3 linked regions of the Sus scrofa genome follow. The protein of the gene in region 3 interacts with the protein of the main gene of each other region in a pairwise test. Links are inferred from orthologs where the notes say so. Each region holds a gene or a part of one and is shown on either strand. Other genes may lie near its edges. The genes, in order: NCOA6, NPY and NR1H2.

The links.
Region 1: the proteins of NR1H2 (region 3) and NCOA6 interact in a two-hybrid assay, tested with the Homo sapiens proteins (2 studies listed by BioGRID). The link is inferred for Sus scrofa from reciprocal best matches to the Homo sapiens genes NR1H2 and NCOA6.
Region 2: the proteins of NR1H2 (region 3) and NPY interact in a two-hybrid assay, tested with the Homo sapiens proteins (3 studies listed by BioGRID and IntAct). The link is inferred for Sus scrofa from reciprocal best matches to the Homo sapiens genes NR1H2 and NPY.

Annotation. Positions count from the first base shown.
Region 1 is NC_010459.5:38,131,392-38,134,952, forward strand, and holds part of NCOA6 (nuclear receptor coactivator 6), read right to left. Parts: coding exon 625-3,561; intron 1-624. UniProt on the Homo sapiens protein: Nuclear receptor coactivator that directly binds nuclear receptors and stimulates the transcriptional activities in a hormone-dependent fashion. Coactivates expression in an agonist- and AF2-dependent manner.
Region 2 is NC_010460.4:47,990,892-47,995,060, forward strand, and holds the start of NPY (pro-neuropeptide Y precursor), read right to left. Parts: upstream 2,836-4,169; 5' UTR 2,654-2,835; intron 1,777-2,653; coding exon 1,589-1,776; intron 1-1,588. UniProt on the Homo sapiens protein: NPY is implicated in the control of feeding and in secretion of gonadotrophin-release hormone.
Region 3 is NC_010448.4:55,237,159-55,241,374, reverse strand, and holds the start of NR1H2 (oxysterols receptor LXR-beta), read right to left. Parts: upstream 2,840-4,216; 5' UTR 2,683-2,839; intron 2,570-2,682; 5' UTR 2,435-2,569; intron 2,009-2,434; exon of another isoform or gene 1,895-2,008; 5' UTR 1,876-1,894; coding exon 1,830-1,875; intron 1,744-1,829; coding exon 1,612-1,743; intron 1,310-1,611; coding exon 1,019-1,309; intron 937-1,018; coding exon 665-936; intron 473-664; coding exon 293-472; intron 1-292. UniProt on the Homo sapiens protein: Nuclear receptor that exhibits a ligand-dependent transcriptional activation activity. Binds preferentially to double-stranded oligonucleotide direct repeats having the consensus half-site sequence 5'-AGGTCA-3' and 4-nt spacing (DR-4).

The sequences.
Region 1 (3,561 bases), on a different chromosome or scaffold from region 3:
TAACTTGCCTAAGGCCATACAGCTGGTAAATGCTGGCACTGTGATACCAACCTAAGCCTATCTCTCAACCACTTTGGTCCTCTCATGTCTATTATGGTGAAACCTGGTTTTTTGGAAAGCTCTCCTATGGAGAGGCAAGTCAGAAGAGAACAGACCCTGACAGAATACAATGAAGAAGCTGTGAGATAACTGTTTTGAAATAGCTGAAAGCACTTTGGTGAGGAGAATCCACAGAAGCTGCTGTTCACCCAATTTAACAATGTTAAATTGGAGACTCACAGGATAGATTTTGAATGAAAACTGAACCCTTGAGCTTCAATCTTTTCACCCGTAGAATGGCGTTAGGGATACCTGACATAGTTGATACTTCTTTGTAAAATGAAATATTTTATATAAATGAAAGGTGTTTCATTATTTCAAGAGCTGAGAACCATGTTAATGAATGTAAACTTAACAGAGGATTTTAAAAGAATATTTTCCCAATGTATTTCAAATAAATGGAACTATCACTATTGCCATTTAGCCCATTCTTCTTCCTCCAAGTAGAAAAGAAGTCATGCTTTCTCTTGTGGGATAGGTCATCTAAAAATTCACATGAGATGATGCCATGCCCCGAGTACATACCTATGCTGGACAGAAGCTCTGGATGAGATCCCACCTTCTCCTCCACTAGGCCACCTGCAAGTGGCTCAGATGTTATGCCAACATGATTGCTTTTTGTGGTCGGCGCCGCAGAGATGAGCTCAGAGGGTACCAGAGTGGTTACTATTGAGCGTACATTGGTGGGGAGAGTACTGCCAGGTAAGCTGGGTCCTGCTGAGGCGGAGCCCGGGCCCACAGGGCTAGAGGTCACTTTTAGGAGAGTGGGTGCTGGGGGAGTTGGGGTTTTACTGTCCAGCTCTGTGGATAACTGCTCTGTTCCCATGAGCCCTGGAGCTGCAGTCTCTAGCCCTTGGCTTTCAGTCTCTCCATCTGCACCATATTGTTCTTCCCCTTTCTCAAGAGAACCTGTAACTTTTTTACAAGCTTTCGTCAGCAAAATCTGGCCGATTTTGTCCACTTTTCCTTTGCCCTTACTAGATGAGACTGGGCTTCGTCGGTTGACAGAGGAGCCTGGACTATTAGTCAAAAGGGGAGAAACCACTGTGGTTGACTGTGAAGAGGGCAGAGTGCTCTGATCTGCTGAGGTGCTCACCTGAGGACTAGTCTCATCTGGATTCAATTCTTTCACTTGTTGGACAGGGGCATGAGGAGGGACAACTGGAGAAGCTGTACAAGGTGGGGACGGAAGCTGAACAGGCGTGGCTCGTGAGTTAAGGACCAAGGGTCGACCTGTCTGTATGTTTGGAGCAGGACTACTGGAGGGTGCATTAGGCAGTACAGGAGCAGAAGAAAATTTAATATTCTGAGGTATGTGTAGAGGGCCAACGACTGCAACAGAGGGAGGCATCAAGCCAGAGTTGGTTGTCAGTGGGGCTGCAGGAATTGTGCTTGGCTGTGATCCTTTCATAACCTGAATTATTGAGGACGAATTGATAAAGACAGGTGTAATGAACTGAGGCCGGGCATTTGACTGAGCAGCTGACTGTCCCTCAGAAACCATAACCTTGCTACCCACATTGGGCATTGTGACGACCGTTGACATTAATGCAGATTGCAGGTGAGTTGGCAGAGCCGCTGATGTGTTCGCTGAAGTCGTGATGGGGTTGGAAGTTACAAAAACAGTTATTTGATTTGGGGGCAAAGGAGTGGAAATGGAGGAAGAACTGACAGGTCTTGACATTACTTGAGGGATGCTTGGTGCAACATTAGAACTGACCTCACTCAATTCTGGATGCACAAGGGTTGAACACGGCTCGTTACTGTGAGGTAAATTTAGGGAACCAGTGGGTTCTTTAGAAGAAGACGGATCCTGCAGTGTGGGAATGACGGATGCTTTTTTCAGGTCCTCTCCAGAAACTACTGGGGGTGTTACTTCCAGATCTGTAAGCCCGGGGGGTTTTATGGTCACATTAGGAGCTCCAGAGTTGTCAAGAAGTTGACTTAATGATGTTGGTGCTTCCCTCATAGCAGGAGACACCAAAGTTTTGTTCTCTTCGACACTGGGCAGTTTGTTAGGATCCGAAGGTTGCCCATCCTTTTTGGATTGATCTTCAGGAACAACCATTTTAACTTCTTGGGCTGGGACTGCTTTTAACTCAACATTTACCTGTTCCTTCCTACCCTGGGAGTTCTGGCAATCGCTGTCCTGAGGCACATTCAAGCTTTCCTTGTTATCCTCGAGAACACCCCCTACTGCAGCAACAGGCATAGTAGGATTCTGAGGATTCAGTCCACTGTTGTTAGGGAAGCTCCCAGGTACAGGAGGATTGGGCAAAGGAGTGGGACTGACCAATACATTTCTTGGCAACTCCACATTTTGCAACAAGGCTGTGTTTGTTTGCGAGGCCAGAGTAAGTTTAGGAGCTTTTGAATTTTGTCTCCCAGGACTTGGGGTGGTTTTCCTACTTGACCCAGGACTAGACCTGCGGCTGTTGCTTGGACTTGCCCGTTTTGTTGCTCCAGAATTAGACTGCTTTCCAGAATTTACCACCACAGAATCTAATTTGTGAGTCTGTGGGGCAGCAAAATTGGAAGGATTATTCATGGAAAGATTTGAAGGTGCTTGCCCTATGGCCTTCAGAGTTGTTGGATTTAGTCCTTGTTGATCAAACCCCCTGTTTAAATTTGGCCTGGGAGGTAAAGGAATATTAATCTGTGGGGGAAAGAGTCCTGCTATGGAGGCATTGAGTCTTTCTGGTGATAGACTGATTTCTGAAGGTTCTGTGCTGGGAGGGCGGTTGTTGGGAGTCTGAGGATAATAGGGTCTGGGGCTGGCTCTGTTTGGTGTTTTAGGCCTAGATGTTTGGGTTGGAGCAGCCACATTTGGAAAGTGGTGGCCATGAGAGCTGGGCAGGGAATTTACAGGAGGTTGCTGGGGAGTTGCACCTTGAGTTGCTGAAAGGGGTGATGGTCCAGGTTTTGGCCCTGTCATCATTAACTGATTCTGGGAGACTACTAAATGTGAAGGCATGCTGTTTGGGCCTCCTGAGACCGATGGTACTTCACTGCCACTTGCCTCAGGGAGCGAGGACATCTCACCTAGCGGTGAACTGGAAGGATTCTGGGGGTTCTCCTGGTATACCATTTTCCTTGAACTATTTCCCAAAGCAGTATTCACAGGCATTGGCATTCTTTGTTTATCAGGTGATGGTGGCACGGAGGCAGGTCCTTGCAAACTGACCATGACAGGCACACTGCCACTCTGTTGCATGGGCATTCTCTGGGAGTCTGGGTTCAGGGGACCCCTTGGGGGATGGACATTCTGGGAGACTGGAAGTCTAACTGATTTGGGGTCCTGTTGCATCATGAGCATCATCATCATTTGTTGCTGCTGCTGCTGCTGCTGCTGCTGCTGCTGCTGCTGCTGCTGCTGCTGAGACTGTGGCTGACTGGGAGGTGGTGGCTGCTGTGGTGGTGGTGGCAGTTGTGGCTGTGGCTGCTGCTGTGGTGGCTGTGGTG
Region 2 (4,169 bases), on a different chromosome or scaffold from region 3:
TGAAACTCAAGTCCCTTTATGTTCCCCGCATCAAGGGTGTTGGAGATGACACAGTGTTGGCGGCGGTGATAACATCTAGGGAAGATCAGTATGAGGGCTCCAGCGTAATCACCCCTAAAAAAAGCTTTCATGAAATGTTCTTAGTTTCACGATCTATAAAATGGAGATGATTATACTCATTTCAAAGCTTTGAGGTGAAGACACCAAAATAATGCCTAAGAAAATTTCGAAATGCTAGCGCTTTCTACAGGTAAAGGTTTACAGCAGTCATCTTTGCAAAATGAGTTCTACTGTATGTTATAACAGACTAAATCGCTAACAAACACTTTCCTAGAAAAAATTAACAATACCTTTTTTTGTTTGTACGGTTCTTTTCTCTGACCTGTATGATAGCATACGCAGGAATCAAAGCAATTAACTTTCTGAAAAGTCTATTAAGATATTTCATGAAAATGATCAGTCTTCAGGGATCATAAACCAATACTATTTAATTCTGGCACTTTCCTGTATTTCTGTTTCTATATAAATCAGTACTTTAAAAAGACTTTCAGGTTGAAACAGATTTTAGATGAAACAGAAAAAAAGAAAACTTTAAGAAATATAAATTCTGTCCCACTTGGGATCCTTTCCAACTATTCCCTGAAATAGGGTTTAAAAAAACCAAAACAATGCTTCATAAAACAATTTAAAATTGTTCAGTAACATTAATGTTTGTAAAGGGTACCTTGTTTTTAGTTTATTAAGGTCATTTGATCTCAGTAATTAAATTAGGATATGAATGATTCAAAACTAAGATGAACCAATTTTGGAAACAAATTTTAAATCCTATGTTATTTGTAAAACCGTTTGGATTTGATTTTTTTGCGTAAGATCTGATATCGAGAGTGAAATTCTTAGCTTTCCGGGAATTCAGAATAAAGACAATTCCTCAAACTACATGTGATCCCTGGATGCACCCGAGAGTGAATAGACCACTGTTAAGTTTCTCCTTAATAAAGCATCAAGTGGGCATTTTCTTTTCAGAACTCACCTACTACGAAATGGGAAAAGTCTCAGCATTTTAGATCAACTGTTTACATGCTAAATTTCTACTTATTAGGACCAGGATTTTCAAGCAAGGAGCTGAGAATGCAATAAAATACTCTACAGGAGGGATAAAACCAATTCTATTTGTCTTTCCCTGAATACAGTTATTCAGTTTGGTCTGGGCAAGTTGGAAAATCTGGCATTGTCTTTGGCGACCCAGCTGTTTCCTCCTTGGTTTGTGCTGTTGTTTTTCTAGACACCCAGCTCACCCTTCTCCCTACAGTACCTCCCTGGCACCGTCCTGATGCCTTTCTCGGGGTACTCTCCTGTCTAGATTTCCAAACAGTGCACCCCTCCCTCCACCCAACAAAAAAAGAAGGTAGTGAGAGATGGTCAGCCACACAGCATTTACTGAGAGCTGAGTATGTGTGTGTCTGATAACTACCCTGCATGGGACACAAAGAAGGAAAAGAAAGGTCTCTGTTCTCTAAGGCCCCCAGGATCTCTGGGGTACGCAGGCAGGGCGCTCCCAGCTTCACCCACCCCGCGGTAGCCCACCTACCTCTGCCTGGTGATGAGGTTGATGTAATGTCTCAACGCCGAGTAGTATCTGGCCAAGTCCTCCGCCGGCGCGTCCTCTCCGGGGTTGTCGGGCTTGGAGGGGTACGCCTCGGCCAGCGCACACAGGCACACCAGCAGGGACAGGGCGAGGGTCAGTCTGGACAGCCCCAGTCGCTTGCTACCCAGCATCTGCGGGCACCGAAGGCGCAGCGGATTCAGAGGACACACGCCCCTCACCTCTTTCCTCTGTATCCCCGCGCCCATCTCTCTGCTACCACCCCCACCCCTCCACCCAGAGGGGTGCTGAGCGTGGCGATTTAGGCCAAGATCTACTTTGGCCCAGCTCCTCTACTCCGCCCGAGAACTCCAGGCAACTTCGGTCAAGTTGCAGAGCCAAAGATGCTGCGGTGAGAGGTGCACAGTTGGGGCCCCCCAGCGCCAGTTTTTACACTTTAAAAACAGATTAGAAGTTCCTCCCGCTGCGCTGAGGACTTATTCCGTTCCTACCCTCTTCCCCAAACCGCTGGTCAGAGGGAAGAAGTTTCTTCTTTTCTACTTTTGGTCGGCCCGGCTGCAGCAGCAGCTCGGCGGTGATGGCTGAGAGTACTTCAGGGTGGCAATTTGGGGGAGAGGGGAAAGAACTGTTCCCGGGGCCAGCCAGCCTCAGATCGGATCCCAAGGATCCCGAGAGGTGGCAGAGAGCGGGTCTTTCAAGCTCCGGGGATTCCTCATCGAGGGGCGCAGCCTGGGCCACCTCCCTGCAGGCAGCGACCCCCGAGGGTCGTGTTGTCCCTGCATAGTTGCCAACAGCTAACCCAGAGGGATGCCCCCCCCCCCCCGGGACGGCTGGAGAGAAGGGCGGATGCACCATTAGAGCAGACGAGGTGGAGCAGGTGGAATCGAGCCGCCAAGAGGGGCTGGCGCGCGTCGGGAGCGCAGAGAGCGCGGCGCGTAGGGGTTGGGAAGCGAGGCGCTACCCTCCAGCTCCCCAGGCGCCCGGGGCAAGTTCACGGGCGCTCCCCACCCGCCCTTAGCTGGGACCAAGCTAGAGGGTCGTGGCACTCACGGTGGTGGCGGGCTGGCCGGCGGGCGTGGCTGGGCGACGGGCGCTCTGCTGTCCGGCGCGCCTCTCCGAGGGGTGAGAGCCGGCGGATGGGGTGTCGAGAGCAGGTCGCAGCAGGGCTTTTATGGCGCTCCATCGCCGCGGCAGGAGGGGCCTCGGGCAGTCACGCTCGGTGACTCCCACCCGCCACTTCCCGCCCCCGAGTGGCGGCGGCGGGCGGGGGGGGGGTAGTGGGGGAGGGGGCTGTGGCGGCTGCCGCGGGCGCGTCGACTCCCAGAGCCACTCACTCTCTGCCCGCCCTGCCCGGGGAAGGGGGGTGACTGGCAGGATGCGAGCGAGGCAGCGCGTTCCGAGGGCGCTGGACCACGCCAAAGCCCAAGTTCCTGCCTTGGTGCAGCAGCCCAGCCTCGCTGTCCCCACGCCCCGTCTAATCCTGCCGGAGACAGGAGCAGTCCAGAGCATCTTTGTCGTCTGACACCGGGACTACCCACCAGCCGGGCGCCGGGGTAGGAGGGACCCGAATCCTCTGCTTGGTGGAGCCTGTGCGGGAGACCCGGGCGGCAAGGGCAGGAACACTCCTCCTGTGCGCTTTCGGGGGAGACAACGTGGTGCCCAGATTTTTCTGCGCTTAAAGCAGGTCCCAGGAGCCTGCCCGAAGTCCCGATCTAGAGGGTCCCGTCGGCCCCTTCCTCCCAGGGGCTGAGGAGAGGCTTCTGAGGCTTCGCTCCTTTCTCAACCTGTTTTTCGCGGATATCAGCCCTCCCCAAGAACGCCGCCAAACACGCGGAGCCCGCTCGGCACCTGAAAACTCCCAGGCGGGACACTGTATGGGTTTGCCGGAACAGAGCGCCATTTGATGTGCCGAGAGACCCCCTAAAGAGCAAACGAAAAATGTTGGTCCAAAGCTACTGGGTAATTAACTGAACAGCAATTTCTCTTTTCTCTGCTGGCCTTTGCCTGGTCCCAAAAAGGTCCATGCGCGTTGATTGAGAATGTGGGTCCTGATTGAAATGAAACAGGTCAAAACACCTGATCACCAGTAATGGGCACAGCGCATTAAACCTGTGGAATGAAGAGCAGACACACATAAACTATTTTTACAGGAGCAGGATCTCATGCAGTGGACTAGGTCTTAAAGTTCCCCCAAAGGAAAGCTTCTAGAAGTCTGAAGCTTTCTGACTAAATGAAATGTTAGGAGATTAAAACGTTCAGTCACACATCATGTTGATGCGAAAATGGCAAGTGACTGTGTTAAACTGAAATGTGGTTTGGGTGCCATTGGGACAGCATTAAATAGCAGTTATTATGGGCAGCAAGCAAGTGTGTGTGTGAGCGACAGAGAGGTTTTGCAGATCAGCATCCCTTTCTCTTAGGTGATTCCTCTTTCCACACGCATGACACAAACACAAATGCCTGTAACACAAATACCAGGCTCTAGGCGTCGGCTTCGGTGAAAAAGCCTTTGGTAAAGTCAGAGCAAAACACTTTCTAACTTTGATCCCATTCTTCATAAGGAGAG
Region 3 (4,216 bases):
TTCACTGCCACACGCCCAGCACTAGGGACAGGGCCAGGTGTACACACTAGGTACTCAATGCTTACTCCAATTCTCAATTATCCTCAGAGCCTCAGGCCCTGTTTCCTTTCTCTCCATGCCTCGTGGGAGGCTCTGATGACTTGCTTAGGTCTCCTGTAGAATGTCATCCCCACAAGGACAAGGACTGGAGTCTTGCTTGTCCCTCTGCTCCCAGCATCTTCCTGGGGCTTATTGCTGGGTTCCGAGGGCAGGATGGAAAGGCCTTGCTGAGGCCGGGAGGGCTGGCCATTACCTCAATGGTGGATGCCTTCAGGAGGGCGATCTGGTCCTCACGACCCAGCTGCAGGAAGCCAGGCACCTGCTTGGCGAAGTCCACGATCTCCTGAACTGAGATGATGGCCAGCTCCGTGAAGTGGGCGAAACGCTGCTGGCGAGCATCTCGGGACTGGGGGTCTGCGCCCAGGGGCCAGGGCTGGGGATATGGGGCGCCAGGTTACTCTCAGGACTTTTCCCAGGGGCCCAACGCTATGGGCCCCTCGAGACAAAGCCGAAACTCCCTAGGAGCCCCTCCTCTCAAAGCCCCTGCCCTCTGGAGCCACATCCTCCCCTGGGGCCTTGACCCCTCGGGGCCCATCACCCCTCGAGGCTGGGGAAGGGGCAGTACCGTGACTTTGGGCTGGTCCGAGAAGGAGCGTTTATTGCACTGCAGCTGGGCCGCCACCAACTGCTGGATCATCAGTTCCTGCGCAGCTGTTAACTGGATGCCCTCGCCTTCCCCAGAGCCCTGGCCACCCCCGTCGGATCCTCCAGGGGAGGCCCCCGGCCCAGAAGCCGAGCCGCTGCTGACTCCGGGCGCTGTGGGTGATGACTGCTGCTGCTGCTGCTGCTGCTGCTTCCGAATCTTCTTCTTCCGTATCTGCTCTTTGGAGAGGACGCCTGGTGGGGAGACACGGGCTTCAACAGAAGCCCCAGGGCTGGGCAGGGGCCAGGCTGGCACCGCTTCCTTCCTGGCACTCACACTGCTCCCTCATCCCAGCCTCCTTGCACTTTCTCAGCCGGCACTGCTGGCACTTGCGCCGCATGAAGGCATCCATCTGGCAGGTTCCACCGCCCCGGCAGGCATAGCGCCCGGCCCCGCCTCGGATCACACTTCGCCGGAAGAAGCCCTTGCAGCCTTCACAGCTGAGCACGTTGTAGTGGAAGCCGGAGGCCGTGTCCCCGCACACTTGGCACAGCTCGTCGCCCAGCATCTTTGGAGCCGGGCCCTTCTTTCGCTTCCGCTCCGGCTCCTCTGCTGGGTCTAGGATGACTGGCATGAGTGGACAGAAGCCATGAGAGACAAATCCACAAAGATAAACGGTGGCCAGAAGGGAAACATCCACGAAAGATCGGAGGCAAAGAACCAGAGTGAAGAGGGTGACCCAGAGAGATGACGATGAGAGAGAAAGATGTGTATGTCAGTGAACCTCAGTGGACCAAAATAAGAGGTGGCAAGGATGCCTGGGAGAGGAACTAGCGCTGCCCGGCCCCGCTTCTGCTCTTTCTCCCTTCCTAGATCCCACCTCAAACCTCCATACCAACCCCAGTCCGTGTGCCTGGGCGCCATCTCACCCACAACGGAGGCTGAGCCGGCCCCGTCAGTGCTCGGGACATCAGGGTCCGCCCCTCCGGGCAATGGCTCAGGGCCATCCTCCTTTCCATCGGATGAAGACGACAGAGTGCTGGGCTGAAGGGGACCATTACCTGGGAGATGGAGGCACAGTGGGTTTCTCCTGACAATAGTCTGATGGGGCGGGGGGGCAGTGGCTGGGTGGGGGAGAGTCACTCACCACCAGGCAAGGGGGTGTCCAGGGAACTCGTGGTGGGGGTGGACATGGTGGGGTCACGGAGCAGCCTGCAGAATACAGGGGGCCTGAGAGCCTTGTGGGGCCAGAGAGGGTCAGGTTACGCCAGCCACAGGTCTCAATGGGGCACCTCCCTCTTCATCTCTTCCAGACTCTTCACCCTACTGTGTACAAACCCCACTCCCAGCCCCTGACAGCCTTCGGACCCTCCCACCCAGTTCTAACAGGCCACGCCCCCTTATGCTCCAGGACAGCCCTCAGCAGGGCCAAGCCCCGCCCTCCCCTAGACCCCAACCACTCCTAGATCCCGCCCACCCGCTTTTTCCAGAAACGTCCCGTCCCTTCGTCCCTGCAGTTTCAAGTGCTCTACCCTCACTTCCTCTCTCCCATCCAGTTTCACCCCACCTACTTTTACTCAGACTTCACTCCACCTCCACCGAGGAAGCGCCCTCATCTCTCATTCTGATCCCACCTCCTCCCATTATGCTCCGCCCACACCTCCTAGGTCTCCCCATCCCTTCCAGGCCCCGCCCCACCCCCTCCCATCACATCCTGCCTCCACCCCTTCCCGTGATGCTCCGCCCCCATACCTCTCTCCAGGTCCCGCCCCTCTCCGAACACCAGTGGGGGGCGGGGCTCATGGCTGCGCGCGAGGGTCTCGTGGGCGGCTTCTTGTGGGGGTCTCCTACTTTTGTTGCCCTGGAAACAGCCGGCGGCGGCGCGAGCTAAGGAAGGGAAGGGGTGGAAGGAGAGGAGGGGGCTGAGCCAAGCAGCGCGGGGAACGCCGGGAAGCCCCAGGCCCAGGGCTCCTCCCGCGTCTCCCCACACTCGGGTGCACCTGCTTTCGTCCCCTTGTTCTGCTTCTCTTCTGCCGCCTCCGTATCTGCTGGCACGGCGCCGCGACTAGGGTCCCCTCAAAAGTAACTTCGCCACTTCTTCCGGCAACCCCACCACGCGTCACTTCCGGAAGTGGGCGTGGAGTCAGGATGACGGAATTCCGGTCCGTCTAGGGGTAGCCTAAGCGGCTGTCTCTTACGGATGGCGGCTGCCGCCCGGAAGTTCGCGTTACCGGGTAGCTCCACGGAAGGCCGGAAGAAGAGTTCCGGTTCCATTCAATCCAAAGTGGGGCGGGAGGGCGGCGTGGCTAGTCCCAAACCTCCCTGCCCCGCCCAGTGTTGCTTTAAACTCTGCCCTGTGCCTCCCTGGGCTCGCGGGATTTACCGGCGTCGTCTCCCCGGCTACAGCTTTTTTCCCCCCATGGCTCTTCTAAAGCGTATTTGTTCTTTTTTGGTTGTTATAATTTTTTCAGATTTTGGAACTGAGCTGCTTGTTGGTTTTAAATAAGTTAATTACATACCTAGACGCAGAAAAAAAATGTATTTTAAAAATAATTCGGGAGTTCCTGCTGCCCGCCAGTGGGTTAAGAATCCGACTCCAGTGGCTCGGGTCACTGCGGAGGTGCGGGTTCCATTTGGCAGGCACATTGGGTTAAAGGATCTGGCTGTTGCTGGGCTTGAATTCAGTCCCTGGCCGGGGAACTTCCATTTGCTCCAAGTGGGGCCATAAAATAAATAATTTGGTGATAGGAAGAATTAAAAAAAAAAAAAAAGAAAGAAAGCTCCCTTGTGACTCAGGGGGTTAAAGATCCGGTGTTGACTCTGCAGCGGCCCGGGTTGCTGCTGTGGTACGGGTTCAATTCCCTGGCCCAGGAACTTCCACCTGCCACAGCGTGACCAAAAAAGAAAAGCAAAAAGAAAACTCAATACTTGGACAGGTAGAAGATGAGAGTTGTTCCAAAGTCTTTTCAATTACAATTAGATCTATATCGAGCATATAAGCATTTTTTAAAAAATGGGAGTATTTCGTTCCTGGGTTTCTGCACCAAAAAATAAACAATAAAAAATTTTAAAATGGGAATATATACTCTATGGTCTCTTTTGACTTGTTTTGTCCATTCCAGCGTGGCCTTCAAGCTGTGGGATTTTCCACCCGAGGTTGTTTACCAATAAAGCAGAGTGACTAACACGGCATTGGGAGATGACTGAACTCCCGTGTACTTAGGAGTGGAGTTTCTGAGTTCTACAGTAACTCTGTGTTTACTTTTTTTTTAACATGTACAGATGTAAAACAAATTTTAATTGGCCCCAAGCAAATGATAGAATGGCACAATACTATTTACAATTCACCAGAATTCTCCATCCTTAGCATGAAGCTTATGATAAACACAGAAATTGCCTATAAAATGGAAAAAGAATTTTTTTCAAACATAAAGCAACCCCCTAGGGGCATTTCAGGATTTTGTTCAGTTACATGTTTGTTTGTTTTTGTTTTGTTTTGTTTTTTGGCTTTTCTGGGGCCACTCCGTGGCATAT